Macaca fascicularis: one gene and its partners. The protein of the gene in region 1 interacts with the protein of each later gene in a biochemical or structural test. Links are inferred from orthologs where the notes say so. Each region holds a gene or a part of one and is shown in the gene's direction. Other genes may lie near its edges.

Region 1 (3,500 bases):
GCTCCTTTTCACAATCAGCTCCTCTGTGAACTGACATAGGGTGAATGCATTCATTACTGCAGGAGGGCACCAAGCCATTCATGAGGGATCTACCTCCATGACCCAACCTACCATCAGGCCTCACCTCCAACACTGGGGATCACATTTCAACATAAGATTTGGAGGAGAAAAACATCCAAACCATCTCAAGGCTGCAGATTGGTGGCTGAGCAAGGGCTGTGGCATCCGGGGTCAGCACAGCTGGGAGCTCTGTCCTGTCCCTTGTTCAGTGAACAGAGACGATACTCAGCCGTGGGGTTCTCTGTTGCAGGCCAAGGCCCCAAATGCCGTGGTGCTGGTGGTCGGGACACACCTGGATTTAATTGAAGCCAAGTTCCGTGTGGAAAGGATTGCAACGCTGCGTGCCTATGTGCTGGCGCTCTGCCGCTCCCCCTCCGGCTCCAGGGCCACAGGCTTCCCAGACATCACCTTCAAACACTTACAGTGAGTGCCCAGCCTCTAGCAGCTCCCGCCTTCATGTGGGTGCCAGTCGCTGATCCTTCCTGGGATCTGCTTACAGAGAGCTCCTGAGGCTGGGTGGGGCTAGGCCCCTTCCCTGGCCAAGGGGGGGCAGTCCACAGAGCTGACCCAGCCTTGGAGAGGGTGAAGACCTACCAGACAGCTGGCTGGGTGAGGCCTGGAGATGCCCCCTCTTTGCTTCCTTTCTGCCCTGTCCCCGCCCCAAGGGCCAGTGCTGAAACTGCATGGTGCCCATTGAACCAGGTGACTGAACATGGGCACCACCCATCCAATTGCTGCCCATCTCATTTTTTGATCACTGATCAAGGACAGACCCTGGGGAGGGAGGACCTAGCCCTTGCCTTTGGTCTGAGTGGTCCTGATAGCAGCCTTTGAGTTAAAAAAGGCCAAGAGTTGGGAGGGGCTTTCGGGTGGGCATCACGACGTGTCCATGCAGATAAGTTCAATTGCCCTGGGCTGACCTCCTGTCACTGGTTGTGGGGATTGTTTGCCACCTTGTAGATGAAGAAGCTGAGGTTCAGCAAATTGTGTGCCCTAATGGGAGTAAAATATACTGCACATTGCATTAGCTGCCCTGGCAGCTCTCAGATTCCCTCGCCCGGGGTGGAGCGTCATGGGTATTGGTGCGTGGGTCAGCCTGGGACACATTGGCCTGGCTCGGAATACGGGATGAGGCTGTCAGGAATTATTGCTTTGACCTTGAGAAAGTCCCATAGGGTCTGTGATAAGAGGAGCCCTGGCTCTGGGTCAGAACCTGAGACCAGCCTGCGTGAGCCTGTGCCTGCCCAGCTTGTGCCCTTGGGGGTCTCAATGTACCTCTGCACCTCACTTTCCTTCTCTGTGAAGTGCCATGTTTGGTCTAGGAAGACAGACTAAAGCGACAGTGTGGGGCACCCAGCACAGTGATTTGCACAAAGCAAGGCCTCAGTAAACTTCTTGTGTTGTCTTTCATGAGTTCTCCAGACTTGCCAGCATTCAGGACAAACCTCTTGGGAAAACAGAGAAGCTGCAGCACTTCCTCGGAGTGGGGCACGATGAGTAAAGACGGGTCTTTTTGCACACAGTGAGATTTCCTGCAAGAGCCTGGAAGGCCAGGAAGGGCTGCGGCAGCTGATCTTCCACGTCACGTGCAGCATGAAGGACGTGGGCAGCACCATCGGCTGCCAGCGACTGGCAGGGAGGCTGGTGGGTACCTCGCTCGTCCAGCTTAAACCAGTAGGCCTGCTTCCCATTGTTGGGGATCCTCACTTCCCCTCTCTCCTGTGAAGCCCATGTCCATGTGGCAAGGCTCAGTCGTTCTTGGTGAGGGAGGGTCAGGATGGAAGATAGTGGGTGGAAATGTCCCACCCACTCAGGCCACAGGGGCCAGGCAGGATCTGCCCCAGCTGGCGGGCATGCCTCGGGAATTGCCTCGTCCGTCTGTCCCCCAGATCCCCAGGAGCTACCTGAGTCTGCAGGAGGCCGTGCTGGCAGAGCAGCAGCGCCGCAGCCTGGACGACGACGTGCAGTACCTGACGGACAGGCAGCTGGAGCAGCTGGTGGAGCAGACGCCCGACAATGACATCAAAGACTACGAGGACCTGCAGTCGGGTGGGTGGGGCTGGGGTGGGCGGCAGGGTGCCCGTGAGAAATGGAACTGTCTGTACTTCAGCCTGGCCCTCAGCAATGAATGAGAGACCGATAATCAGCCTGTGTTTCTGTCTTCCATCCCCCTCCCCTTCCTTCTTCCCTCTCACCCTTCTTTCCTTGGAGGTAGAGAACACAAACAGCTACTCTACACCAGCATTGTGTTGGCCACAAGGGCAGACATATAAACTGATGGACTGGTCCATGCCCTCCAGGGCTGACGTTCAGTCAGGGAGACAGAGGTCAAACAGTTACAATCGATTCTCATTAGCCACAGGACTTATGTTCTGTAAAGTCACCATGATCACTGAAATAGCAAATACTAAACCAGTGCTCCTAGGAGAGACGCAGGGTTCAGCTCCTGCAAGCCTCTGGTCAGAACATTCTCATCAGCCCATCAATACAGAACCTTGTTTTATGTGTGTTGCTGCTTAAAGACACTGTACTTAATATATAGTGTTGATTTGTTGGCATTGAACTCATGGTTAACAGTACTGTTGCTCATTCCTGAACAAAACTTATCTAACACACAGGTTTTCTCCATAAGGCACATCGCAGCCTTCTCACGCTTAGGGAACTACACAGCGCTTCAGCACTTCACTTGGGACCATTTTAAACAGTGAAAGCATCAACAAAAAGCACAAAAATTCAAAAAACATGGCACTGACATAGACCACTAAGCAGGCCCCTGTTTTCAGCACGAGAGTTGAGAGTGTTGCCCTGTTCAGCCTCCGCTGGGAATGTGCACATTGGTCAATGCAAACTTTTCACCACTCAGCACATGTCTGCAAATAACCACAGGAGCATTGATTTGGGGGTCGCAGATAAATTTTAGTAAGAAGGCAAATTTGCAAAGGCGGAATCCACAAATAATGAGGATCAACTGTAGTTACCGAGGTGGCCATTAGCCTAGGACTTTGGCAAGAGTTACCAGGGGCCACCAGGGCACCTGTGATCAGGCTGCCAACCCACCTGAAGGGTCCAGCATGTGGGGCATGTTGGTTTCTTCCTAGGAAGAATTTGTGACCTGGGTCCCCTTGGAAAGTAAGGCCACCCCAGAGTCCCTTTCGCTCCTTTGTCTAACTGCTGCTTCCTCCTCTCCTTGCCTGGGGCAGCCATCAGCTTCCTCATAGAAACTGGCACCCTGCTACACTTCCCAGACACCAGCCACGGCCTGAGGAACCTCTACTTCCTCGACCCTATTTGGCTGTCCGAATGTCTGCAGAGGATCTTTAACATTAAGGGCTCCCGGTCAGTGGCCAAGAATGGGGTGATCAGAGCAGAAGACCTCAGGATGCTACTGGTGGGGACTGGCTTCACACAGCAGACGGAAGAGCAGTACTTCCAGTTCCTGG
Region 2 (4,122 bases), on another chromosome or scaffold:
AGCCTGGTCAACATGTTTAAACCCCCATCTCTACTAAAAATACAAAAATTAGCCGGTGTGGTGGCAGGTTCCTGTAATCCCAGCTACTCAGGAGGCTGAGGTGGGAGAATCTCTTGACCCCGGGAGGCAGAGGTTGCAATGAGGTGAGATCGTCCCACTGCACTCCAGCCTGGGCAGCAAGAGAGAGACTTCGTCTGAGGGGGAAAAAAAGTATATTCTGAAAAGAAAAAAAAAAGCAAAACATATATTTTGGTGATAAAATGATAAAGAAAAGCAGGGAAATGATAATGCCAGGGTAGTGGCCATGTTTGGGGGTTAGTGAGGGGTCTGTGATGGGTGGTGAGGGGATGTGGGGATGTCATTCTATGTCCCTTGGCCTGGGGAATGGAAACGCAGATGTTTGCTGCTTTAAAATTCAGGTTTATAATATGCTGATATATTATGTACTTTCCATAAGTGTGTTACATCTCATAATAAATCTTTCAAAGCTAAAAAAAATCAATATATGATTGATAAATACCTAACTTCATGTATCATTTGGTTACCTAGTTTCCCCAACCTTATTTATTAAATTTTCTAAACTATCCTCACTGATTTGCGATTCTAGCTTAATAATATAGCCAATTCTTACCTGGGTTTGAGAGAGCTAGTAGTGGTTATCGAAAATCTACTCTTGCTTTTTGGCGAGGATGAACGGACTTTGGGGGGCGGGGTGGGGGGATGGAAAATGTGAATGAAACGAAAAGCAGGGAGGGAGGATGAGACAGTCATGGTCATGGGCTTTATTATTAAACAGGAAAAATCTAGAGACAAACTGAAAAGAGAACGGAAGTCTGTGAGAGGGTTGCCAAGTCAGAAAGCAAAAGCAAAGTGTCGCTTTATTAAAAAGGTGGGGGCGGGTCCTGATTGAGCTGAGAACAAAACATTTGGGGGGGGTTCTAAAGCTTGGAGGCCAGGCCTGCAGGGTGGGGGTCGGTTATCCCGGGTGTCCCGCTCAAGGGTGCAGCTTCCATCGGCACTGTGCATCGCCACTGTGCAGGTAGTTAAAGACTGCTGGACGGGTTTTGTTTGCTTTGTTTGTTTTTTTGAGGCGGAGTCTTGCTCTGGCTCCCAGACTGGAGTGCAGTGGCTCGATCTCGGCTCACTGCAACCTCCTTCTCCCGGGTTCAAGCGATTCTCCTGCCTCAGTCCCCCGAGTAGCTGGGATCACAGGCGCGCACAACCAAGCTCGGCTTATTATTTTATTTATTTATTTGTTTATTTTTGAGACTGGGTTTCCCTATGTTGCCCAGGCTGGCGCCAATATTTTCAAAGATTTAACATACTGCTATTTTTACATGTACTGCTTTTTTGCTTACTCTGGATTTTATCGATGGAAAGAAAGGACAGAAAAGGGCGCGTACCGCATTTTGTGCCCCTTGCCCACCAGGCTCCATTCCCTCCGGAGCGCACACCGAGGCCGTCTGCGTTACCCGCGTCCCCGCGCCCGGAGCCGCCCAGGAGGGGGCCCGGACCCCGCGGTGCAGAGCGCGCACTGCTCGGGTGGACCGGACGCCCCGCGGCGGGCTGGGAGGGACCGGGGGGAAGGGGGGGCGCGGGGGCGGCCTGAATCCCTGGCCCGCCTCCCCGGGTCCCCGCCCCGCCCCGCCCCGGGCCAGCCTGCGCCCGCGACGACACTTTCAGCCCCGAGCCGCGGCCGCTCAGGTCGGACCCACGCGCAGCGGCCGGAGATGCAGCGGAGCGCCGCGCTGTGCCTGCGACTGGGGCTCTGCCTGGGGCTCCTAGACGGTGAGCGCGGGGCCGCCGGGGAGGGGGCCGGCCGGGGAGGGGGACCGCGCACCTGGGGCGGGCGCTGAGACCGCTCCGACGGGGACGGGCGGGGGACACGGTGGCCCCGGTGCGCGGACGCCTGAGGGAGCACGGCGCTCGGGGCCCGGGACCTCGGGATGAGGAAAGGGCGGGCGGGGACTGCAGCCGGGTCAGGGCCAGGGCGGCCGGGCCGCGCCTCGGCGCAGGGTTCGCCCTCCCGGCCCCGAATCGGCTTCTCCGTGGGTGGCTCCGGGTCCTCCAGCCGGGCCCCGTCGGGCTGCGCGCTGAGCCTGGATCCTTCGTGCCCTTCCTCGCTTCCCCGCGGGGTCTCTGCGCCGCGCCGCTGGCCCGACCCACGCGCACCGGAGATCCCGGCCATCCCGGCCCCAGACCGGGTGCGCACTTCCCGACGCCCGACGTCTCCGCTCGCGGGCGGTCCCCCAGAGGGCGCTCGAGCCGGGCTTCCACCTCCCGCGGCCGGGGCTGCAGCGCAGGGGCCGGGACTCCCGTGCGCAGGAGGCTGACAGGTGCAGGTGCAGGTGCAGGTGCAGGTGCGCGCTGGGACCTCAGAGGAATCTTGAGGAGGCGAATCGGGGGCTGTCAGCGCGGCAGAAGGGGCAGAAGGCCAGGGGTCCCCGGATTTGAGGGGACAGGGGCCTTGAAGGCCGGCTGAGGAGCAGAGGCCCCCGCGGGAGGGTCCCCTGCCCAGGAGAGGCGGGGTTCGGTTTGTGTTGGGAATATGGCTCTGGCGGGGAGGGACCCAGACCTGAGGCGGAGGCGGAGGGGTTGGAGAGAGGGATTGGGGGGGATGAGGGAGGGGCAGAGGGAGTGGATGGAGATGTCAGGATAGGGAGTGGATGGCGATGTCAGGATAGGGGAGTGGATGGCGATGTCAGGATAGGGAGTGGATGGCGATGTCAGGATAGGGAGTGGATGGCGATGTCAGGGAGGAAGCTGAGAAGATGAGCTGGGAGTCCACACGGAGCTGGTGTCTCTGGAAATCAAAGGGTGGAAGGGCGGGGTCAGGGGTTCCAGTGTCTGAAAGGGGAGTGCCGGGAGCTATGAAGCCAGCGATGGGGACCTCAACATTTCTGCACGCCATAGGAATTAAATACTGGCTTTACATGCTTGTAATTCTCACAGGGAGTGTCAGACTCATTTTACACATGGAGAAGCTTAGAGCAAGGACGTGTGTCACTTCCCCAAGATCCCCAGGAGGCCCAAAGGAGCCCGACAAAGCCTGCCTTCTGCCCACCACCTGTATGTCCACGGGCTGAAGGGCAGAGGCCAGGAGAGGGGACAGGTCTGGCTCAACCAGGGGAGGAGGGAGGAGAACATCTGTCTGGGCCCCTGAGTCGGGCAGGTCAGATCAGGGTGCTGCCCTTGGCCCTCCTGGACCCCGCCCAGGACCAGGCTCTCACAGGTGCTCAGGATGTATTTGTGAGTGGCTGTTAGAGCTTGGTTGGACTGCAGGGCTGTAGAATGGGAGACACTTAACCCAGAGGAGACATGGGATGGGCGCCTGAGTGCAGTGTCTGAGGCTGAGCTGAGGACCTGGAGAGGGAGCAGAGAGACCCAGGAGGGGACCCTGGAGGAGGGGCCCAGAAGGCAAGGGGGCTTCCAGGGAACATTCTGCAGGTCTGAGGAGAACCCGGAGAGGCCAGTGTGCTGTGCTCCCGGCTGGAGCACGGCGGGATGTGGGGTGAAGGGTGACGAGACCATTTTTTGCAGTGGGTGCAGTGACTTAGCGACCCAGTTATGAAGAGGAGAGAGGGCGTAAGTGGGGGCCCCATGGAGAGGGGTGTCCTGGGCTGGACCTGGGTTTGGCTGGTGGGGAGATGGCAATAGAGACTGAGGTCATCCCTCCCTAAGCCCTGCACCTTGCTCTATCCCCTGCTAGGCTGAAGACCCCGGGAGCCCCCAGCTTGGTGGGGGATGCCATGGCGGGAGCACAAGCCCTCAGCTGCAGTCGGGTGTCAGAGCAGCTGGGTGGGAGCAGGCCGGAAGCCTGAGCACCGTGAAGCTGACCCCTTAAACATGTGCTGTTGGTCATAGAACCGGACTTGTCCTGCCTCCCCCGTAAAGTCATTTCTGTGTGACCTGGGCCCCCTCCTTTCCCCTCCTTGCACCTCAGTTTCCCCAAGCATAACCATGGCATACGCTGGCAAGCACCGGGGTTGTGTGGGTTGTGTGTGCTTGGGCTGGACTCCAAGACTCGGTTTCCTGCTTCAGTTCCACAGTCTTGCCCTGGTGGAGAGGGTAGGTCGCAGATGTCTCTTGGGGCTTCGTCTAGAGAGAGGCCATTGGCACCTC
Region 3 (4,037 bases), on another chromosome or scaffold:
TGAGCCTCCCACATCAGCCTCCTGAGCAGCTGGGACTACAGGCATAAGCCACTGCACCTGGCTTATTTTTTGTTTTTGTGGAGATGGGGGTCTTACTGTATTGTTCCGGCTGGTCTCAAACTCCGGGACTCAAGAAGTCCTCCAGTTTTGGCCTTCCGAAGTGCTGGGGTTACAGGCATGAGCCATGGTGGCAAGCCCTCATCAGTTATTTTTCTATGATTCTGTCTCGCTGTCCCCTCCTTACAAGGAAAGTAATTTTGAAACAACCAATCCAGTCTTGGTTCTTTGTTTCTGCTTTCTTCAGCCCTTCTCTGTCTATAAAATCAACCTCTTCTGCTCAGCTCATGGGAGCACTTATTCTAATTTAATGGAGGTGTTGCCCAATTCTAGAATCACAAATAAAATTAAGATCTTTAACAACAAAAGTTAAAAAATGAGAATCAGCAACAACAACAACAGAAAAGATCTTTAAATGTGTTGTAATTTTCTCCTTTGACAGGTTACAAGTGCAATTGAATAAACCAAACAAAAAATGTCATGGTTAGGTTCGGTCTTTACTTCCCAAATGAGGGTCAAGATGTAAGACTGCAAGAACCAACTTCTACCATAAAAAAGATCCGAATCCAAGAAAATGTGATTTTTCTTTAAAGCTGTTCACCGCAACGAAAGTTTCTTTTTAGTCTAGGAGACTAAAAGCCATCAGCTGACACAATCTCTTTTTTTCTTGAAGTTTCCAAAGGAAGGCAGGTGAGTTTGCACTAACTTCCATTTTCTCCCTGGCTTCCTTCTGGTGTCAGATGAGCGTCCCCGCGCTCCTCCCGGACAGCCCTCATGGTCCCCGGCTATCATATATGGGGGGGTTGGGGGATGGGGGTGGGGTGGGGGTGGGCGAGATGGCTTTGTACAGGAAAGAGGGGCGGCAGGCACGGGGAGCACGGGCTCCAGCCCCAGGAACACTCAGTCGGCGCAAAGGAGAGGGAGAGAGCGAGTGCGAAAGCCGAAACCCTCCCGGGGCCACGGAGTAAGCCCCCAGTACCGCTCCTCCGGCGCCCCACCCGCAGGCGGACCCCGAAGACGCGCCCGCGCCCGCCCCCGGCGACTCCGGCCCGGGCACGCGCACGAGACGGCGGGGGGAGGGGCGGGAGAAGGTGGGGGAGGGGCGAGCGGGGAGAGGCCCCGCCCCGGCCCCTCAGCCCCGCCCGCCGCGATTATAGCCGATGACTCAGGGCGGAGCTCCGCGTCCAACCCCGGGCCGCGGCCAACTTCTCTGGACTGGACCAGAAGTTTCTAGCCGGCCAGTTGCTACCTCCCTTTATCGCCTCCTTCCCCTCTGGCACCGAGGAGGCTATTTCCAGACACTTCCACCCCTCTCTGGCCACGTCACCCCCGCCTTTAATTCATAAAGGTGCCCGGCGCCGGCTTCCCGGACACGTCGGCGGCAGAGAGGGGCCCACGGCGGCGGCCCGGCCAGAGACTCGGCGCCCGGAGCCCGCGCCCCACACCCGCGCCCCGGCGGGCAGACCCCGACCCAGCATGAGCGCCGCCACCCACTCGCCCATGATGCAGGTGGCGTCCGGCAACGGTGACCGCGACCCCCTGCCCCCCGGCTGGGAGATCAAGATCGACCCGCAGACCGGCTGGCCCTTTTTCGTGGACCACAACAGCCGTACCACGACGTGGAACGACCCGCGCGTGCCCTCTGAGGGCCCCAAGGTGAGCTGGGCCCGCGGCCCGCCCTGGTCGGCGGCGCCACCTCGACGGCAGGCGGCGGGGAGTGGGTTGGGCCGGGGGGACGCCAGGCGGCGGGGCCCGGTGGCCGGCGAAGGCCCCTTGCGGGCGGACACCGGCTCCGCGCCCCGCCACACACTCCCGGTGCTCCCGGACGAGTCCCCGCTCCGGACCCGCCCTTTACAGGAGTCGGGGCGAGAGGAGGCCCCGCGATCCGGTGGTCCGGGAAGCGACCCCGCAGTGGGTCCGGTGCCGTCCACGGCTCGACTCGGGGCGGAGGGCCGCGTGTCCGACGCTGGCCTCACGCTCCCGGGCTCGGAGGGGGCGGCCGGCCTGGTCAGCTCCGGAGGCTCCGGCCCGCCGCGGCCACTGCTGCCGGCTCGGCCTCCGGTCCCGGGACCCGCGGCGCACCCCGCTGACCGCGGACTCGAGGGGGACCCTCGCAAGCTTGGATGGTGGTTTTTGGGAGGAATTTTACCGCTCAAGTTCTCCAACTTGGTTGAGGGGTATCTTGTTTGCTGTCCCATCTTAGGCACCCAATGACTCAGGAGGCTGGTGTCAAAACATTCATATATATGTGCGCGCGCGTGTGTGTGTATTTTAAATTAAAATTGTATTATTGTTTGAAAGTGCTTTCAATACGAATGTATCCTAGTATGACTTGTAAAATATAAAAGAGGGTGCACTTCTCCCCAGCAGTTTCTAAACTAGAGATCTGAGACTTACAGTTGGCCATTGCCTTACCACATTGCCTCACACTGGAAAGAGAATGATACGTGTATATTTATAATGGCATTCGCTTCCTGCCTTGTTATGGTATTAAAATACTTAGAATTTGTTACCAGTACACAAATAACTGAGTAATGATACTCTTGGGAATACAGCAGAAGTATGTCTCATTTACATATATGCAACGATATTCCTAATCCCCAAGAGCATGAAATTTGAAAACGTAAATTTGGAATGAGTCTGTTAATTTTCAAAAATCATAGTTATACTATTCGTTCAATTTTATATAAATTTGAGCTTTCAAAATAAAAAGTTTTTTTAAAAAAAATGTTATACTTAAAGCGTAATTGTTACTGCCGTCTGGGCAAGATAAAAGCAGCAAAGAGCTGGTAAATTATTTTGAAGATTTTAAAACTCACCAAATTAAAAATACTTTGTAACCCATTATTTTAGAAGAAAGACCTGTATTATTTCCCTTCATTTTAATGCACTTTTTGTTTTAACAATATTGATAAAACTCCGGTGCCCAACAGTGAGACACTGTACAGGCAGCAGTTTACATTTACGAGAGATTACTTGTGTATTTATTCTTGAAAATTAATACAAGAGGCTGTAATTAGCTGGGGTGGGCACAGTTGCATATACCTTTTTGTGTGTGTGTTCAGCCCATTTTTGGGTGAAACTGACACTCATTTCAAACCACCTTTCTTAGGCGTCTGCGTGGATGTACCTGATCTTTAGTGTGGTTTGCAACTATTATTTTGAGGCCTTCTTCCTGTGGACATAGGGACAGTGGTATCTGCTGGCAGCCTTTGTTGTGAGTGAAGATCAAGTTTGAACATAGACATTCCCAGCACTTTGTTCTCAGCATGAAACTTACCCAGCAAGTTGAGATATTCCTGTACCCACCTGGTGCATGGGTTAGGCTGTGGTTTCATAAACCTTATTAAAAGAAAAAAAGCAGGTTTAGCTGCCATTATTCTTCTCAATAAATAAAAAGTAAGAACTATTACATCAGAAGTCTGATGCTGGAAAGGTTTCTTTGAAAATTTCATAGTCAAAATTTTTAAGTTGAAAGGTCCTTGAAGATCTCTTAGTTAGAAGATCTCTTATTTTCTGAAAAACCCAGAGAATTCAGGTGTGACTTTGAAGGTCATCCAGCTAGTACCAATTACAGGGAGAGAACTAATGTCAGGAAAGTTCTAGTAAGAGGTGGTGTGTCTGTTAGAAGTTGGAAGTGAATGTTTTGTGAAACTGAAGCATGCAGGCTAGAATACCTGATTATCTTTGTGCCCTCCTGGCCACCAAGTTATTGGGTCACTGACCTCTGTGCTGTGGTTGCTTGGATTTTGATGATGGGACGTCATCAACTCAAGAAAAGAGTTCTCTTTACGAAGTGAATGACTTGAGACTTGTCAGCATGGCACCAAAACTTAAGGAGAAAACTAACATTCAGCCCATTAGCTGTTTGTGCTTCATTGCTTTCAACCCTGTTCTTAGACGCACACAATATCTGGTTGCACTTGTGTGAATTACACCTTGCTGGAGACTAAATGTAGTGGAGAATCCTAGAATATCAT
Region 4 (4,010 bases), on another chromosome or scaffold:
GGGTGGGGGCCCTCTTTGGGTGGAAGGACCCTTCCCCTTGCTGCCCTCTCGCCTTCTGACATGGTCGCTCACCCTGGAATCTGGACTTCCCCTGCTGCCTGCAGCTGTCCCATGTGGCCGCTGTCCCATGTGGCCCCTGACCCACTGGTGGCCATAGGAGGAGACAGAGGTGCCCTCTCTGGGTTCTTATTCTCCACATCTGACACCACCATGGACCTAACAGGTGAGTTTCCAGTGCCCACCCTCTGCCTACCTCTCCTCCTGCTTGGCTCCACTCAAGGCAGCCTTCTCTGTGCCAGTGAGCTTGGCCTCACTGCACAGCTCTCCTGAGACTCTGCCCCAGCCCTGGGCACCCATGCTGTGAGTGCAGGCGGGTGGTTCATGTACTTAGCAAATCCATTCCCCCCGTGGGGAGGAAAGTGGCCTTGGGCCCTGTTGCTGGTGAGGTGAGCCTTGCCATCATGGAGTTCAGCGGACCTCGCGCTCTCGGCCTGTTTCTGATGTTTCTGAGCCTGAGACATCTCCAGGACAAACACAAGGTAAGTACCTCAGGCTCTTGTGGAATCGGGATCCTGTCTCTGTCACTAGCTGCTGGGTGTACTTAGGCAAGTTCTGTCCCTCTCTGAGCTCCAAGTTCCTCATCGTAAATTGGGGAAGCCCCTCTTCCCCCAACAGCACGGGGTGCCTGGCATGGAGGATGCTGGAAAGCTCCAGCCCCGGAATTTAAGTCACTTTCTGCTCAGCAAGCTGGGTCCACAGAGCCCCAGAGCTCCCAGTCGTCTGCCCTGACCCAGCGTGGACTCGGGGACTGGGGCGCTCAAGCCCTGCCTGGCCCTGCTTCCTGTGCTGTCCTGGATCGAGCCGGCCAGCAGGGTGGCTAGGTCGGGACTGCTGTCGTGCGTGGCAGGAAAAGGCCGTCGCCCTCCGGGCTCGGGTCCGGTGGCGCTGGCAGAGCAAGGCTCCGGGGCATTTCTGGCTTGTGTGGTCGTGCCAAGGGCGCCATTGCGGATGCACAGGGCCATGCGGGCCGGGTCCGCCTCCTGGGGAGAAACGGGTGAGCGCAAGGGGGATCGGCGCCATTGAGGGTGGAGAAACCGCAGGGATTTTCGGCTGTCTGCTTTGGAGCGCCAAGGAAGATGTTCGTCGACCACAGTGTGAACCTTGAGCCACCACGGCACCGACCAGTCGACTGGGCGATCCCGTCGGAGGCGGGGCCGCCGCCCGGGGTGTGCGACTATTGGGTGACGGCTGACGCTCACCGCCTTCCTTTGCACACCGCTCGCTGCACCTCTCGACGACGCGCCGCGGCGCTGCGAGGGGCTCGGTCCGGGGTGCGCCGGCGATTGGCGGGGGAACGGGACCCGGGGGTGCGGCCGCCCGCGGATTGGTGAGGCGCGGCGGGGGCGGGCTCGCGCATGCTCTTAAGTGGCAGCGACGGGGACGGGGTCAGTGCCAAGATGTCGACGGCGGCGGTTCCAGAGCTGAAGCAGATCAGCCGGGTGGAGGCGATGCGCCTGGGGCCGGGCTGGAGCCACTCGTGCCACGCCATGCTGTACGCCGCCAACCCTGGGCAGCTCTTCGGCCGCATCCCCATGCGCTTCTCGGTGCTGGTGAGGACGGGAGCGGGAGCGGGCGCGGGCGGGCCGGGGCGGGGGCGTCCGACGATCCCCCGGCTTTGACCCGCGCTCCCTTGCAGATGCAGATGCGTTTCGATGGGCTGCTGGGCTTCCCCGGGGGCTTCGTGGACCGGCGCTTCTGGTCGCTGGAGGACGGCCTGAACCGGGTGCTGGGCCTGGGCCTGGGCTGCCTGCGCCTCACCGAGGCCGACTACCTGAGCTCGCACCTGACCGAGGGGCCCCACCGCGTCGTGGCGCACCTGTACGCACGGCAGCTGACGCTGGAGCAGCTGCACGCCGTGGAGATCAGCGCGGTGCACTCGCGCGACCACGGCCTGGAGGTGGGGCCGCCGCCCGGGCCCCGCCCCCCGCCCCGGGGTTTGGCTCTGGCCCCGTGGAAGGCACCGATGGGTAACACGTCTCCTGAGGGTCCCCTGGCCGGGCTGGGTCGGGTGTCGCTGTCTCCAGCAATGGGGTGGGGAGAGGGGTCTGGGGCTGGGGGGCCGGGAGAGGAGGGGCGGTGGTGGGGGCCGGGGCTGGGGCTCCCTCAGGGCTGTGTTACATCTGCCTTGCTGCTGCCATTGCCAATCCTGGGAGTGGGGAGTGGGATCGGTGGGGAGGAAGGGATGGGGGAGGAGCGGGGCTTGCTTGGGGAGTTGGGAAACTTGAGCACAGCGGGGGTCGTAAAACTTGGAAACCTCATGGGGGGCGTGAAGGCTCTTGGTATTTGTGTTTTGTGGTCTGGAAGGGTTGGACTCCAGGTGTTCAGGCTTCGTTGGGTGGACGGGAAGCATGGGGTGTGGACCCCGGGTGGTGGTCTAGGTACGAGGGGGAAGTGCATGGGGTCAGCCTCCACACTTGCTTGGGGAGGAGGGGGCTGCACTGCTCCAAGGGAGCTGGTTGGCTTCTGCCAGGTCCTGCCTGGGTCTCCCATTAAGTCCTTGGCAAAGCTGGCTGCTCATACCCTGGCCTCCTAGCTTCCAGGCCCCTCCTGCCGGGGGTGCCATTGCGTGGCAGGCCTGGCCCCAACCCCTACCTCCTGTCTGCACAGGTGCTGGGCCTCGTGCGGGTCCCGCTGTACACCCAGAAGGACCGAGTCGGAGGCTTCCCCAACTTCCTGAGCAACGCCTTTGTGAGCACGGCTAAGTGCCAGCTCCTCTTTGCCCTCAAGGTGCTCAACATGATGCCTGAGGAGAAGCTGGCTGAGGCCCTGGCTGCGGCCACCGAGAAGCAGAAGAAGGCCCTGGAGAAGTTGCTCCCAGCCTCGTCCTGAGGGCTGCCTGGGCTGCTGGCACCCTCCCCTGGGCCGGAAGACTGGGAATTCCTGCCAAGTGTGGCTTCTAGAGTGTGTGTGTGTACCCCACTTCTGACTGCCTAGGGCAAAGGGGCATCCTGTCATCTCCACTGTCCCAAGCAGTCACTAGGTGGTGGCCAGGCCAGCTGGGACCCAGCCCATCCTCTCAGGCAGAGCAGGGTGGTCTGGGCACGCTGGGCCTGCCTCTCCAGCCTCCCAGGCTCAGACCCTCCTGTGTGTGTGTCTCATCCCGGCTGGTGGAGGCCCACAGGGACTGCGCACAGCTCCAGGGCCACTCGGAAGACGGGATGTGTGGGTGGAGGATGCCTCGTCTAGGTCAGCATTCCTGCCTCCTTCCTGAGCCAGCTCAGAGCCTGGGGGAGAGCCAACTTGGGGTAGGAAGTTAATACTGTTAATTTGGGTGGTTGTTGGATTTACTTTGCTAGATTTTCTCTTTCACCATGTGTGAACTGTGGGTGAGGTTTCAAAGTAGCTTCACCCCACGTGGCTTGGTTCCCAGGGACAGTCAGGGCCTCGGGGGCTCAGCTATGTACGACGAAGCTGTCGAAGGAGAAGACAATAAAGTCACTCCTCAGCTGCTCTGTGTTTCTCAGCTACTCTGTGTGTTTCGGTTCTGGATGGAGCCAGCTCAGGCCTCCTGCCCTAGGGGGAGGGAGGAGCCGCCCCAGCCAGAGGCATGTTTGTCCCCAGTGCTGACTGGGGGCACTCCCAGCATAAGCGCTGTGCCCATCAGCCAGGTTGGGGTATCTGGGCTGAGACCTTCAGGGAAGGCTCCCCTTCCTGATCCTGATGGCCCTGGCTGCACCTGAGCTGACCTGCTTTGCAAACCCGCCCTACACCACCATCATCTGCAAGCAGCTCCAGGGGCTGGTGTAGCAGTGCAGGCTTACTATGCAGAAGGACAGCAGCAGAGCCATCCCTCGTGGTCTCCTACAGCCTCACATCTGGAAAGACTCCAGTGGCATCGTCAGAAAATGTTCACAGCCCATGCCTGGCCTGGTGAGGGAGGTGGTGGTCCCAGCGCCATCATCTCAGCGCTCGGTGTGAGGGCAACATGTCGGGGGAGGCCCTGTCCTATG
Region 5 (4,108 bases), on another chromosome or scaffold:
TGGCAGTTCTCCAACGGGATGAGGCCCAGGGGTGCATGATCGGTCTGGTGTTCTAGGTAGAAGAGGTTTCCTTGGAGGATGAACCATCGGTGCTGGTAGCTGAGGTTTCGGGTCCCCTTCTTTAGCAACATGCCTTCCTGGTCTGGGGCCTGTGTTCTGTAACCATGGAAGAAACTGAGCATGGACTTTCTGTGCAGTTCCATCGTGATCCAATATGGGAGGAAATCCCTAGGGAGAGAGAAGTGGCCCATCTAGTTGCCTTGGGGAAGAGTAGGGGAACTCTCACACTGTCCTCGTCTGGCTCCAGCAGGTGCCGCCTGGGCAGTCTTTGCTTAGGGGGATGCAGGCTCCGAGTGTCCTCAAGAGCTAGAGGTTCCAGTACAGGGGCTGACCCCCCGCCACCTCCCCCAGTCCCGCTTCTGCTTGGGCCACATTCTGTTACCTGGGCACGAGTTGCTAGGCCCTGTTTGCTCAGAGGAGCTTCATGCTACAGAGAGGCACTGTTGCCCTTTTCCAGGCCGTGGTGCTAGGCCCTGTTTGCTCAGAGGGGCTTCATGCTACAGAGAGGCACTGTTGCCCTTTTCCAGGCCTATCTGAGAGCAGGGCACAGGGACTTCTGGCCTGGGTACTGGTGCCAATGCCACCTCTCCAGTGATGGCTCTCCCACCTCAGAAGCCAGGAACTCGCCCAGGGTATGGGCGTGGGACAAATGACTTCCCCTGGGTCCTAAAGGGAGCTGTGTCCAGAAAGTGCCCCGAGAGCCGTCCAGGGGCCCCGGGCTGGCCATCGGGAGAGCCAGGCTTCCCCTCGGGGAGGGCAAGGCTCCACCTCTCAGATAGGAGAGCTTACCACCGGACCACAGGAGTGGGAAGGCAGGATTTCTAACGAGACGGTAGGGGCGCTGAGCCCTCAGCCCTGGTGGAAGGGTGACTCGAACCCAGCACAGGAAAACGGGGCAGCGACCCACTGGCCCTGCTCGGACTTTGCCCCTCCATCCTGACCCTGGGCGACCCTTTAAGTAGATGCTCTCGTTTTTCTCCAGAGCCTCTACTGCTTGAATGAGGGAATCGAAGGTACTTCCGGCCATTTCTCACGCCCGGTCAGAGTGTAGGCATTCACAGGTCCCCTCTTCTCGCCATTGTCCTCCCACGCGACTGACGTCACTTCTTGCGGGAGAGAGGGTGGAGGCGTCTTCCCTCGCTCACCGCGTACTTCCGCCCGCTCTTCCAGTTAGTTCCCTAACCCGAGTGAAGCCACTTCCGGGCTTCCCAGGCGCCTTCCACAGTCCTCTTCCGGGTGATGGCGGCCGGGTGCCCCGGATGTAGCCTTGGCGCAAGCATCTCTTCTTTTCGCCACCTCGCCTCCCGCGGAGTCCCAGGTGAGCGCGCGAGGGTGGGACAGCCCGGATCCCCGTGGCCCTCTAATTTGTACACAGCCCGGGACAGTTGGGGCTCACCACACGGAATTGGGAGTTCGGAGCAGGGAGGAACGGGGTGGCGAGAGCGCCAGGTCCTGGGTCTGCCCGGGCCCCGCGAGCTCCGAGAGAGCCAGAGTAGGAGGCGGGGGTCAGCCGGTCGAGCCGGTGGCGCCCAGACTGCGGGGGCTGGAGTTGGGAGCGGTCACGTGGTGAAGTCTGTTCCCTGTTGGCCAGGGTCAGGGGATCCAGAGGGTCCGCTCCTCCGTCCCCACCCCATTTAACTCGCGGATGCTAGACCCAAGTCCTGCAGGCCTCCTGGCTGCCAGCTTCTCTTCAGCCCTTGCTTTTGTGCTCCCTCCGCTCCCAAACTGTACCTGTCACAGACCAGGAAAAATATTTGCTGTGCTGGGTCCTCTGGTGGCGAGTCCCCTCCTCACCCCATTCTCTTTCTCTGTATCCTTTCCTCAGCTTGAGAAACACCTCTCTGCCCCGTCATGCCAAAGAGGAAAGTGACCTTCCAAGGCGTGGGAGATGAGGAAGATGAGGATGAAATCAGTGTCCCCAAGAAGAAGGTGAGGGGGCCAGACTCCTTTGTGTGGGGGAAAGAGAGGAGCTAGAAGCCTGAGGAGAAAGAAAGCTGGCGGGAGTGGGGCGGGGCGGGCAGGCAGAGAAAAGCCTAGTTTTTTCAGGTTCTCTGAAGAATGGGTTGGGAGCATCTTCAGTGTGGGTCCTAAAATATTTGGGGAAGTAGTCGAGATCCTGAAATATTTGGGGAATATTTGGGTCCAGATCCGGAAGTATTTGGGGAGGTAGCCAGTAACCTGCATTTCTTGACTTGACTCCTGCTCACAGCTGGTGGACCCTGTGGCTGGGTCAGGGGGTCCTGGGAGCCGCTTCAAAGGCAAACACTCTTTGGATAGCGATGAGGAGGATGATGATGATGGGGGGTCCAGCAAATACGACATCCTGGCCTCAGAGGATGTAGAAGGTGAGCTGTACCCAAGAATACACTCTGCTGGAGAAACAAGTAGGGGCCTCTGGTGGTGTGGAGTGAGGGAGGCTCCAGTCTCTCTTTTCCATGCCTAGAAAAGGGCACCTGTGTCTTTGGTACAGGTCAGGAGGCAGCCACACTCCCCAGCGAGGGGGGTGTTCGGATCACACCCTTTAACCTGCAGGAGGAGATGGAGGAAGGACACTTTGATGCTGATGGCAACTACTTCCTGAACCGGGATGCTCAGATCCGAGACAGCTGGCTGGACAACATTGACTGGGTGAGGCCCAGGGGCTGGTGTGGCTGGGGCCGGGGAGTGGCGGATGCTAGGCCTGCTCCCATGGCAGTTCGTGGGAAATCACTGCATCTTTCCATGACAGGTGAAGATCCGGGAGCGGCCACCTGGCCAGCACCAGGCCTCAGACTCGGAGGAGGAAGACAGCTTGGGCCAGACCCCAATGAGTGCCCAAGCCCTCTTGGAGGGACTTTTGGAGCTTCTGTTGCCTAGAGAGACAGTGGCTGGGGCACTGAGGCGTCTAGGGGCCCGAGGAGGAGGCAAAGGGAGCAGCAAGGGGCCTGGGCGTCCCAGTTCCCCTCAGCGCCTGGACCGGCTCTCCGGGTTGGCCGACCAGATGGTGGCCCGGGGCAACCTTGGCGTGTACCAGGAAACAAGGGAACGGTTGGCTATGCGGCTGAAGGGTTTGGGGTGTCAGACCGTGGGACCCCACAATCCCACACCCCCACCCTCCCTGGACATGTTCGCTGAGGAAGTGGCAGAGGAGGAACTGGAGACCCCAACCCCTACCCAGAGAGGAGGTAAGCTTGGAGGACAGAGGAGGGGGCAGTGGGCGGGAAGTGAGACACCGGAGGTCAAATGGCTTTGCCTGTTATTTTAGAAGCAGAGTCGCCAGGAGATGGTCTGGTGGATGTGATGTGGGAATATAAGTGGGAGAACACGGGGGATGCCGAGCTGTATGGGCCCTTCACCAGCGCCCAGATGCAGGTGAGCTGCTTTCTCCCTCCTTCTGGCTTGTCCCTGCTTCCCCTACTCCTGTCAGTCCTTCCCCAGCTCTGCCCTCTCCTTGCAGACCTGGGTGAGTGAAGGCTACTTCCCGGACGGTGTTTATTGCCGGAAGCTGGACCCCCCTGGTGGTCAGTTCTACAACTCCAAACGCATTGACTTTGAGCTCTACACCTGAGCCTGCTGGGGGCCCAGTTTGGTGGGTCATTCTTTCCTGGACTTTGTGGAGAAGGCACCAAGTGTCTCAGGCAGTGAGGAAATTGGAGGCCATTTTTCAGTCAATTTCCCTTTCCCAATAAAAGCCTTTAGTTGTGTATTGGGGCCTTGGCTGTGCTGACGGCCAGAAGCCAGGGGCCTTCTCCACAGCCACTTTGGACTTGCCTTGGTCCCTGAGTGTTTGCTCCCATGAAGATCTTCTTTGGAGGTGCCTGTCAGGTGTCCTGTGGCCTCACTGCCTGGACTCTGCTTGCTGTGTAAACACCCCCAACTGCGCTACTTTGTGTTCCTCTCTGAGGTTTCTTGTTTGATTCCCCTTAGGTCTTTGGCTTTCAGGATGTCAGATTCTTTGTCCTTGTAGCCACCAGGGGATGGAGCCCCAGAAGTGGAGCTTTTAGGCCTGGAAGGACCGGGGCATGGAGAAGACATTGGGTCTCTGTTGGGGGTGGGCATGGAAACGTTT
Region 6 (3,446 bases), on another chromosome or scaffold:
GACCTTGAACATACTGGAGAAGATATCTCAGATAGAGTCCCACATACAGAGAGAAGTGGCCCAATCATAACTTGTTCTCTTTGTATGCCCCAGGTTAGCCTGTTGCCCATCAAACATTCTGTCACAAACCCAGCCATCTCTTCCACAATCTACTCTCCAATACTTTAATATTTTTAACTTCAGGCCGGGCACAGTGGCTCATGCCTGTAATCCCAGCACTTTGGGAGGCCAAGGTGGGTAGATCACTTGAGGTTAAGAGTTCGAGACCAGCCTGGCCAACATGGCGAAACCCTGTCTCTACTAAAAATACAAAAATTAGCTGGGCATTGTAGTGTGTGCCTGTAATCCCAGCTACTAGGGAGGCTGGGACAGGAGAATGGCTCGAACCCGGGAGGTGGAGGTTGCAATGAGCTGAGATTGCACCCTGCACTCTAGCCTGGGTGACAGAGTGAGGCTCCTTCCCGCCACCAAAAAAAGCCAGATTTTGCAAGTGCTCTCTTTCTTCTTTACACTGCCTTGGTTTTGCTTCTACTGTCTCTTCTGTAGCTCTTCCTCTCTCAACTGTGAAGAGCCTCCATTTATTTACAGGCACCCAAGTAGCCACAATTAAAGCTTGTCCCACAGGGAGGAAAACAGAATTCCTTTAACATCCGTTGTCCCTGGGTAGAAAAGTTTTCTGTGAAAAGAGATGGGCTGTTCACTTAGGCTTGATGATGTCATATTCTCTTTACCTGTCCTTCTGCATCCACCAGGTTATTGAAAGCAATGGGATGGCAAGAATATCCTGAAAACGATGAGAATTGCCTTCCCCTCACAGAGGATGAGCTCAAAGAGTTCCACATGAAGACAGAGCAGGTATGTTGTAAACCTTCTTCCTAGAGACCAGTTAGTAACCAGGAGAATAAGGAGTCCAGACAGTCCTTGCCCTGAGGGAGCCCTAGTTTAATGTGAGAGAAAGATCTGGGAGGGGTGGGAAAATTACCTTAGTAGAAATGTAGCGGGGCTCCTAAATCTGCCTGGGAAATAAGGATCCCCAGTATTGGATACAAAAACCAAGTGTCAGTTATTAGCAGATTCCAGAAAATAGTATACTCTTTCATCCTCACAGCTCTAACTCCTTATCAGAACCACAAGGCTGTGTTCCAGAGTTATGGTCTGAGCTCTTGGTCTTTAAGGAAGCAGGTTCACCTTCCTCTGCTTCCTGTTCTGCACTGTAGTTTCCTGGTCCTCTGGCCAGAGCTAAGAAGCTAAATAGCTTGTGTCAGTTTATCCAGCAGTTGCTTGGATTCTTTCTCTGAATAAAACACTGCTAGATCCTAGGGTGAACAAGACAAATGGGGTTTCTATAAAAATCCTTGAACTTCTGGTGGCATATATTTACAGCACAAAGTACAATTGGCCAAGTTCTTAAAATGGGCATGGCACAAGCTGGTAAGAGACCTTGCCACTCTGAACTCTGTTAGAAATAAGGACTTATGGCTGGGCGCAGTGGCTCTCGCCTGTAATCTCAGCACATTGGGAGGCTGAGGCAGGCGGATCACAAGGTCAGGAGCTCGAGACCAGCCTGGCCAATATGGTGAAACCTCATCTCTACTAAAAATACAAAAATTAACCAGGCTTGGTGGCGCACGCCTGTAATCCCAGCTACTTGGGAGGCTGAGGCAAAAGAATCACTTGAACCCGGGAGGCAGAGGATGCAGTGAGCCAAGATCGTGCCATTGCACTCCAGCCCGGGCGACAGAGCGAGACTCCGTCTCCAAAAAAAAAAAAAAAAAAGAAAAAGGACTTTCAAGCTCCATCCCAGACATACTGAATCTGAATCTGCATTTTTGAAAGATGCATAGATGACTCGTACATTAAAATTTGAAAAACACTGCTATAAGAGATCTCAGAGGGTCTCTTAGAAGCACCCCCTATCCCACATTCCACCTAGAATTGAATTGAGGCCTGGCCTTTCCCAGGGCTCATGAGTCAGTGCAGTCATGGACAATTTTTTCTTTTTTCTTTCTCTCCCATGCTAACCATAGCTGAGAAGAAATGGCTTTGGAAAGAATGGTTTCTTGCAGAGCCGCAGTTCCAGCCTGTTCTCCCCTTGGAGAAGCACTTGCAGAGCAGAGTTTGAGGACTCAGATACCGAAACCAGTAGCAGTGAAACATCAGATGACGATGCCTGGAAGTAGGCATATAAATGCTCACAGTTAAATCTTGACCCAGTAAACTCTGTGTGTTTAGGGAGTATACAAAAGAAATCGTTCTTTTCCTTTTCTTATGTTGTTGAATACTTCATTCACAAGAGAAATAATCGTATCCCAAAGAGAGAGCGATTGGCTTGTTTCGCTTTTGTTGTTGTTCTTCCCTGTTATCTGCTTAATAGAGAGAAGTTTGTGTGGTGGGACAGATTTTTTAAACACACACACACACACACACCCCCAGTATATATGGGGTGATGCACAGGTAGGAGCTGGCAGTGCAGGGAAGAGGAGACACCGGTCTGCAACAACAGCTTCTACTACCAGCCCTTAGGGCACTCACCCCTGTGCTCAAGCAATCATTGTCAATGACAAAGTGACTATTGAAGTTATAATTGTATTAAATTAATGCTAATAATTTGGATATTTTATTTTATTTTTGGCTGCTCGGGTAACTTTAGCCCTTAACCAAGCATACGTGGTTTTTTTGGTTGTTTTTTTTGTTTTGTTTTGTTTTTTTTCTTTTTCCTTTTTGGGTACAGCTGTAAAATATTTGGATATAGGAAATGTTGTGTTATCTTGCAGCCTTGATATTCAGGGTGGATTGTAAAATATAAATTTTTGTGAGATTTCAAAGATTAAGATTATTTTGATAACATTATTTACAGATTTAAAAGATGTGGTTATCACAAGTCTCGAGGGGGAAACTACTGCATAAAATAACTAACTTGGAATAAATATTTTGCATCAGTTTGGATTGTCTTGTGTAAGAAGTATATTTTCTTTAAAATTAAATGAGTGGATTCTTTTTTAGGGGAAATATTTTTAGAAGTTGGGGGGAAATGTGAATTCAGACACAACTGTTCTCTTTTTAGCAGATACTTTTTTGATGCAGAAAAACCTGTGCAATAAATTACCACTAATAAAGTCAGAAACCAAGTTTTTTTTTTTTTTTTTTTTCCCTGAAACTGTTTTTTAGTGCCCATGTATTTACCAGTATACATATTTTAAGGGAAGTCTATTCTGTTTTCCTACTAAATAAGAACTTGGAGCAGGGGTTGGGGGAGAGTTGGACGATGCTAGCCGGATGGCTAGTGAAGGAAGCAGGTTTTTTCATTCAACAAATACTTTCTTTTTTATTTTTATTTTTGAGATGGAATCTCTCTGTGTCGCCCAGGCTGGAGTGCAGTGGCGCCATCTCGACTCACTGCAAGCTCCGCCTCCCGGGTTCCCGCCATTCCCCTGCCTCAGCCTCCC
Region 7 (4,028 bases), on another chromosome or scaffold:
AGTATATTAGCAAGCAGGCTGTCAATGAATATTGGCCTCCATCTTTTTTTATGGAGAAAGACAACTATTTATGCATATTATGATGACTATAGCTTAACCATGAGCTCAACAAACACAAAAATTCACAGAAAATTCTGCGATACCGTATCTATTTTAAACCACATTATTGAATGTAACTAGTGAAACCTCAGGTCAAATAGAATGTATTTAAGGAGACACAAACTTGACATTAACTCTAAATATCAGAGTATTGAAGATTTGATAGTTGTCTCTTCTTACAAATATATCCCTCATAATAAAAAAGCACTCCACTAATATGCCAATTATGATACATCTTCCAGTTGTGTTTTGTCCTTGAGCGAAAAATCTTGCTGCTCAATTCAAGTCATTCGTTTATTCATAACACCCATATATATATCTCCAACCCTGGAGAGAAACACTGACAGAAAGATGGAAAATTTTAGAGCCCTCGTTTCCACTTCAGAGAGCCTGTTGTCCCCTAAACCTCTTGGGCCCTCGGGCATTTTTAAACTTATCAAGATTCCAGAATGAGGTTAATGGGACGTCACAAAACGAACCCCCCACCGTCCCGTCCCAGGGGCTCCAAGCCAGGACCCCAGCCTGAGGGAGCCTCCGGGCAGGAGAAAGAGGCCCAGGAAGCCATTGCTCCGTTCCTTCCCGGCTGTTTACGTGGCACTCAAGGTACTCGGCCAAGGGCACGGCGACCCCGCAACACCCCCGGCGTGGGGCAAAGACAGCGGGGTTGCGGGGCTCCTGTCTGCCGGGAGCGTCGAGAGTTCCTGCCCCCCCGCCCGCCTCATGCACGGAAAGCCCCGAGCCACGGCGTGCGGCGCTGGCCGAGCGTGAACCGGAGTCGGGTTCGGCTCCCCCGAGCGGCTGTGCGGGCCGCGGAGCGCTTCCCGTGGGGCGGCCACGCAGGGTGCGGGCCATGGCCCGGGGCGCCTGTCCGGATCCCGCCGCCGCGCGGGACGCAGCCCCCGTCCTCGACCCAGGGCGCCCGGCGGCGGCGGCAGCGACTGCCCGGGGCGGCGGCGCGGCGCGGCGCAGCGCGGGGGCGGCCAGGAGGCGAGGAGGCCGGGCCGCGGCCGAGGGCCCAGGGCGCGCTTCCGCCGGGCGCCGCGCGCGCCGCGGTAAATGGGAGGCTCGGCCGGCAGGGGCGGGGGCCGCGCAGCCGGGGACTTTCAGGAACTGCAGGAGCGGGCGGCGCGGGAGTAGCCGAGCGCCCAGCGGCTGGGCCTGAGCGTCGAGACTCGGGGCCGAGGCGCAGGAGCGGCCGCCGCGCCGGGGCCCAGCCGGAGCCGCCGCCCTCGCCCTTGCCTTCGTCCGCGCGGCTCAGAATCACCATCCGCGGCGCGGGAGACAAGCCGGCCGTCCCGGGCCGGGGGACCCGCCCGCCATGGCCACCAAGGTGAGGGGCGCGCAGCGCAGGCCCGGCCGGTCGCTCAGGCCCGCGGCGGCGCGGGGACGGTCGGGGCTGGGGCCGCGGGGAGGGTTGGGGCCGGGGGTGGCCGAGGGGTCACTCTGCGTCCTCGGTGGGGTCCCCGGGCGGGTCCGCGGCCCAGCCAGTCCCTTCTGGGCATGGGTGCGGCGGACCGTGCAGACGGCCGGGATCGCGCCGGGGGAGGGCGTCGGGTCTGGGCGCGGGTTGGGACCCCGGGCGCAGCGACGTTTGGGAAGTTTGCACCTGAGCGTGGGCTGCGGCGGGCTCGCCGGGAGGGGCCGCGAGAGCGGGACGGAAACTTCCCGCAGCCCGGGGAGGCCCCCGAGGCGACAGGCTCTCTGTGGCGTCCGGTGTCCCCGCGGCGTCTGGCGTCCCCGCCGCCCCCACGTCCCCTCCCGCTGCCGCCCAGGGGACCCTCGGCCCCGTGGGGCGGGTGGGGGTCGAGACCTCAGCAGAGAGGACGCTGCGCTTCCCGTCCCGGCCTGCGGGAGCTCGCGGCCGGGGAGAGACGGAGGCTGGGACACCCCGCGCCCCTCTGCCTTCTCTGCTGTTATTTTTTTCTTTTGTTTTGCTACCTTCTCAGTGTGAATGGTATTGCCGGCATGAATAAAATATCAAGAGGGAAATGACTGTGCTTTCGATTACGTGTTTGCCTAAAAAAGGCCCAGGCCCGAATTACGTGGTGGAACTTTGACTCCTGCTTGGTAATTGGCTAGGAGCGGTGGTTTGCTTGTTTTGCATTATTGTTTATGAAATTAGCAGTCACTCTTTGCTACCTGAATCTTCAAAAGCCACCCTCCCCCACTTCTTTTCCTTGGGCGTTTTCAGTAGTTACTTGGTGTAAAATAGTCACTGGGGAGTCATGGTCGCGGAAGGAGGACCTGGGGGAGGAGGCTCTGTACCTGAACCATTAACTGTTCTGTGATACGCTGTGAGGAGTAGGTTTACTTTTGCACTTAGTTTTTGTAGTGTCACTTTATTAGCATCAGCACCCCTTTCCCTATTTTTTTTTTTTTTTTTGAGATCTCTGAGCTACTTTTGGGTTGCTAGAAACGTTATTTTTTATATTTCGATAGGTGTTTGCTTTTTTTGGTGGAGTGTTAAGGTAGGAAATGGTAAGAAATGTGAAATCTGTTTAAAAGATCAGCGTTGCTTGACTTCGGTCTGCTAGATGTTGTCCTGTGGTAAATTTTGTGCTCTGAATCCATCTAGGTGCAGCGTTTATAGAGAAGTGGGGATTCTCCTCCAGGGAACCTGTTGCTGCTGTTACTGAAATAATTACCTTCTTGTTAATATATTATTGCCTGTGCTGTGCTTTGGTTTTATTAATGTGATAGAACTTGCCACCTTTTGAACTTATTAATTTTGTGTTGACCTTTTTAAAAATAAAACTTAGGCCAAGGATTTCTAAGGAAATTTGATTTTGAGGTTTGTTGCCAGACACTCCAGAAATTACCAGTTACACATCCTAGTACACGCTCATCTTGCAACCTTAACAGCGGTTTATAGGCTGGGCGCGGCGGCTCACTCCCACCTGTAATACCAGCACTTTGGGAGGCCGCGGTGGGCGGTTCACCTGAGGTCGGAGCTCCATACAGCCTGGCCAATATGGTGAAACTCCGTCTCTACTAAAAATACAAAAATTAGCTGGGCGTGGTGGCGCGCGCCTGTAGCCCCAGCTGCTCCGGGAGGCCGAGGCAGGAGAATCGCTTGAACCCGGGAGGCGGAGGTTGCAGTGAGCCAAGATGGCGTCACCGCACTCCGGCCTGGGCTACAGAGCGAGGAGACTCCGTTTGAAAAAAAAAAAAAAACCAAGGCGGTGTATGACATAGAGATCTGTCCAGTGGTGGTCTGTGTGTTTTTACACTCCGGTCTACTGAGGCATGTTACCTGTACTGTCCTTTAAGTGGAATGCAGTTTAGCAACTAGTGCAGGTATACGTAGTGAAATTTTTATTTCATAGTTAAGCCTGAACTTAATTTTTTTTTCAAAAAATTGAAAAGTGGTTCTTGTATATTAATCTTGAATTGCATGTGTCTTTGCTTAAACACGAGCCTTAAAACATGCATAAGCACTTCCTACTTCGTTATCTACACCACTCCGAAGGCAAATTCCAGTAATTCTGTTAGTTTCTTTCGCTGTCTAATCACTGTTCCACATGGTGCTCATTTCCATGTCTACATTGTGACAGACCATTTCCATTTTAAGAAAAAGAAGAGCAATGAAGCAGTTATTAGAAGAAGACCCTTCCTTAGTTTTCTGACATCCTGGTGATACTTGGGTCAAACCAAAGTCTCATTTTTTAATTGTCCCCAGAGAGACAAGTTGCTACTTTCACTTGCCCCATATACACACCCCTTCCCCACACCTGAGTAGTTCTGTTTTTTTTCTTCGTCTTCTTCAAGGGTGGGGAGAATGTGCTTAGTAGTAATGACTAATTTTTAATAAATGGCTCCAGTGGCACTCAGGCTGTTGCTGTAAGTATTAAGTGATGAAACGTAAATTCAGGATCTGGATATTTTAGGGGATGTTCATTTCCCTTTGAATTTACCAGAAACTTGGCTAT

The links.
Region 2: the proteins of LRRK1 (region 1) and FLT4 form a complex in vitro, tested with the Homo sapiens proteins (2 studies listed by BioGRID and IntAct, with this or other methods). The link is inferred for Macaca fascicularis from reciprocal best matches to the Homo sapiens genes LRRK1 and FLT4.
Region 3: the proteins of LRRK1 (region 1) and BAG3 form a complex in vitro, tested with the Homo sapiens proteins (2 studies listed by BioGRID and IntAct, with this or other methods). The link is inferred for Macaca fascicularis from reciprocal best matches to the Homo sapiens genes LRRK1 and BAG3.
Region 4: the proteins of LRRK1 (region 1) and NUDT16L1 form a complex in vitro, tested with the Homo sapiens proteins (2 studies listed by BioGRID and IntAct, with this or other methods). The link is inferred for Macaca fascicularis from reciprocal best matches to the Homo sapiens genes LRRK1 and NUDT16L1.
Region 5: the proteins of LRRK1 (region 1) and CD2BP2 form a complex in vitro, tested with the Homo sapiens proteins (2 studies listed by BioGRID and IntAct, with this or other methods). The link is inferred for Macaca fascicularis from reciprocal best matches to the Homo sapiens genes LRRK1 and CD2BP2.
Region 6: the proteins of LRRK1 (region 1) and GPBP1L1 form a complex in vitro, tested with the Homo sapiens proteins (2 studies listed by BioGRID and IntAct, with this or other methods). The link is inferred for Macaca fascicularis from reciprocal best matches to the Homo sapiens genes LRRK1 and GPBP1L1.
Region 7: the proteins of LRRK1 (region 1) and SNX9 form a complex in vitro, tested with the Homo sapiens proteins (2 studies listed by BioGRID and IntAct, with this or other methods). The link is inferred for Macaca fascicularis from reciprocal best matches to the Homo sapiens genes LRRK1 and SNX9.

The regions. Positions count from the first base shown.
Region 1 is NC_088381.1:86,092,220-86,095,719, forward strand, and holds part of LRRK1 (leucine-rich repeat serine/threonine-protein kinase 1), read left to right. Parts: intron 1-310; coding exon 311-483; intron 484-1,583; coding exon 1,584-1,704; intron 1,705-1,949; coding exon 1,950-2,109; intron 2,110-3,260; coding exon 3,261-3,500.
Region 2 is NC_088380.1:187,556,034-187,560,155, reverse strand, and holds the start of FLT4 (vascular endothelial growth factor receptor 3), read left to right. Parts: upstream 1-1,322; 5' UTR 1,323-1,337; coding exon 1,338-1,788; intron 1,789-4,122. UniProt on the Homo sapiens protein: Tyrosine-protein kinase that acts as a cell-surface receptor for VEGFC and VEGFD, and plays an essential role in adult lymphangiogenesis and in the development of the vascular network and the cardiovascular system during embryonic development.
Region 3 is NC_088383.1:128,663,472-128,667,508, forward strand, and holds the start of BAG3 (BAG family molecular chaperone regulator 3), read left to right. Parts: upstream 1-1,237; 5' UTR 1,238-1,533; coding exon 1,534-1,713; intron 1,714-2,232; exon of another isoform or gene 2,233-4,037. UniProt on the Homo sapiens protein: Co-chaperone and adapter protein that connects different classes of molecular chaperones including heat shock proteins 70 (HSP70s), e.g. HSPA1A/HSP70 or HSPA8/HSC70, and small heat shock proteins (sHSPs), e.g. HSPB8.
Region 4 is NC_088394.1:5,507,096-5,511,105, forward strand, and holds NUDT16L1 (tudor-interacting repair regulator protein), read left to right. Parts: upstream 1-1,448; 5' UTR 1,449-1,457; coding exon 1,458-1,610; intron 1,611-1,696; coding exon 1,697-1,957; coding exon of another isoform or gene 1,958-2,027; intron 2,028-2,667; coding exon 2,668-2,889; 3' UTR 2,890-3,510; downstream 3,511-4,010. UniProt on the Homo sapiens protein: Key regulator of TP53BP1 required to stabilize TP53BP1 and regulate its recruitment to chromatin.
Region 5 is NC_088394.1:28,493,692-28,497,799, reverse strand, and holds the start of CD2BP2 (CD2 antigen cytoplasmic tail-binding protein 2), read left to right. Parts: upstream 1-1,308; 5' UTR 1,309-1,378; intron 1,379-1,885; 5' UTR 1,886-1,911; coding exon 1,912-1,989; intron 1,990-2,269; coding exon 2,270-2,405; intron 2,406-2,530; coding exon 2,531-2,688; intron 2,689-2,788; coding exon 2,789-3,224; intron 3,225-3,304; coding exon 3,305-3,411; intron 3,412-3,477; coding exon of another isoform or gene 3,478-3,496; coding exon 3,497-3,607; 3' UTR 3,608-4,108. UniProt on the Homo sapiens protein: Involved in pre-mRNA splicing as component of the U5 snRNP complex that is involved in spliceosome assembly.
Region 6 is NC_088375.1:189,087,566-189,091,011, forward strand, and holds the end of GPBP1L1 (vasculin-like protein 1), read left to right. Parts: intron 1-752; coding exon 753-855; intron 856-2,027; coding exon 2,028-2,180; 3' UTR 2,181-2,946; downstream 2,947-3,446. UniProt on the Homo sapiens protein: Possible transcription factor.
Region 7 is NC_088378.1:66,161,195-66,165,222, forward strand, and holds the start of SNX9 (sorting nexin-9), read left to right. Parts: upstream 1-1,228; 5' UTR 1,229-1,417; coding exon 1,418-1,429; intron 1,430-4,028. UniProt on the Homo sapiens protein: Involved in endocytosis and intracellular vesicle trafficking, both during interphase and at the end of mitosis. Required for efficient progress through mitosis and cytokinesis. Required for normal formation of the cleavage furrow at the end of mitosis.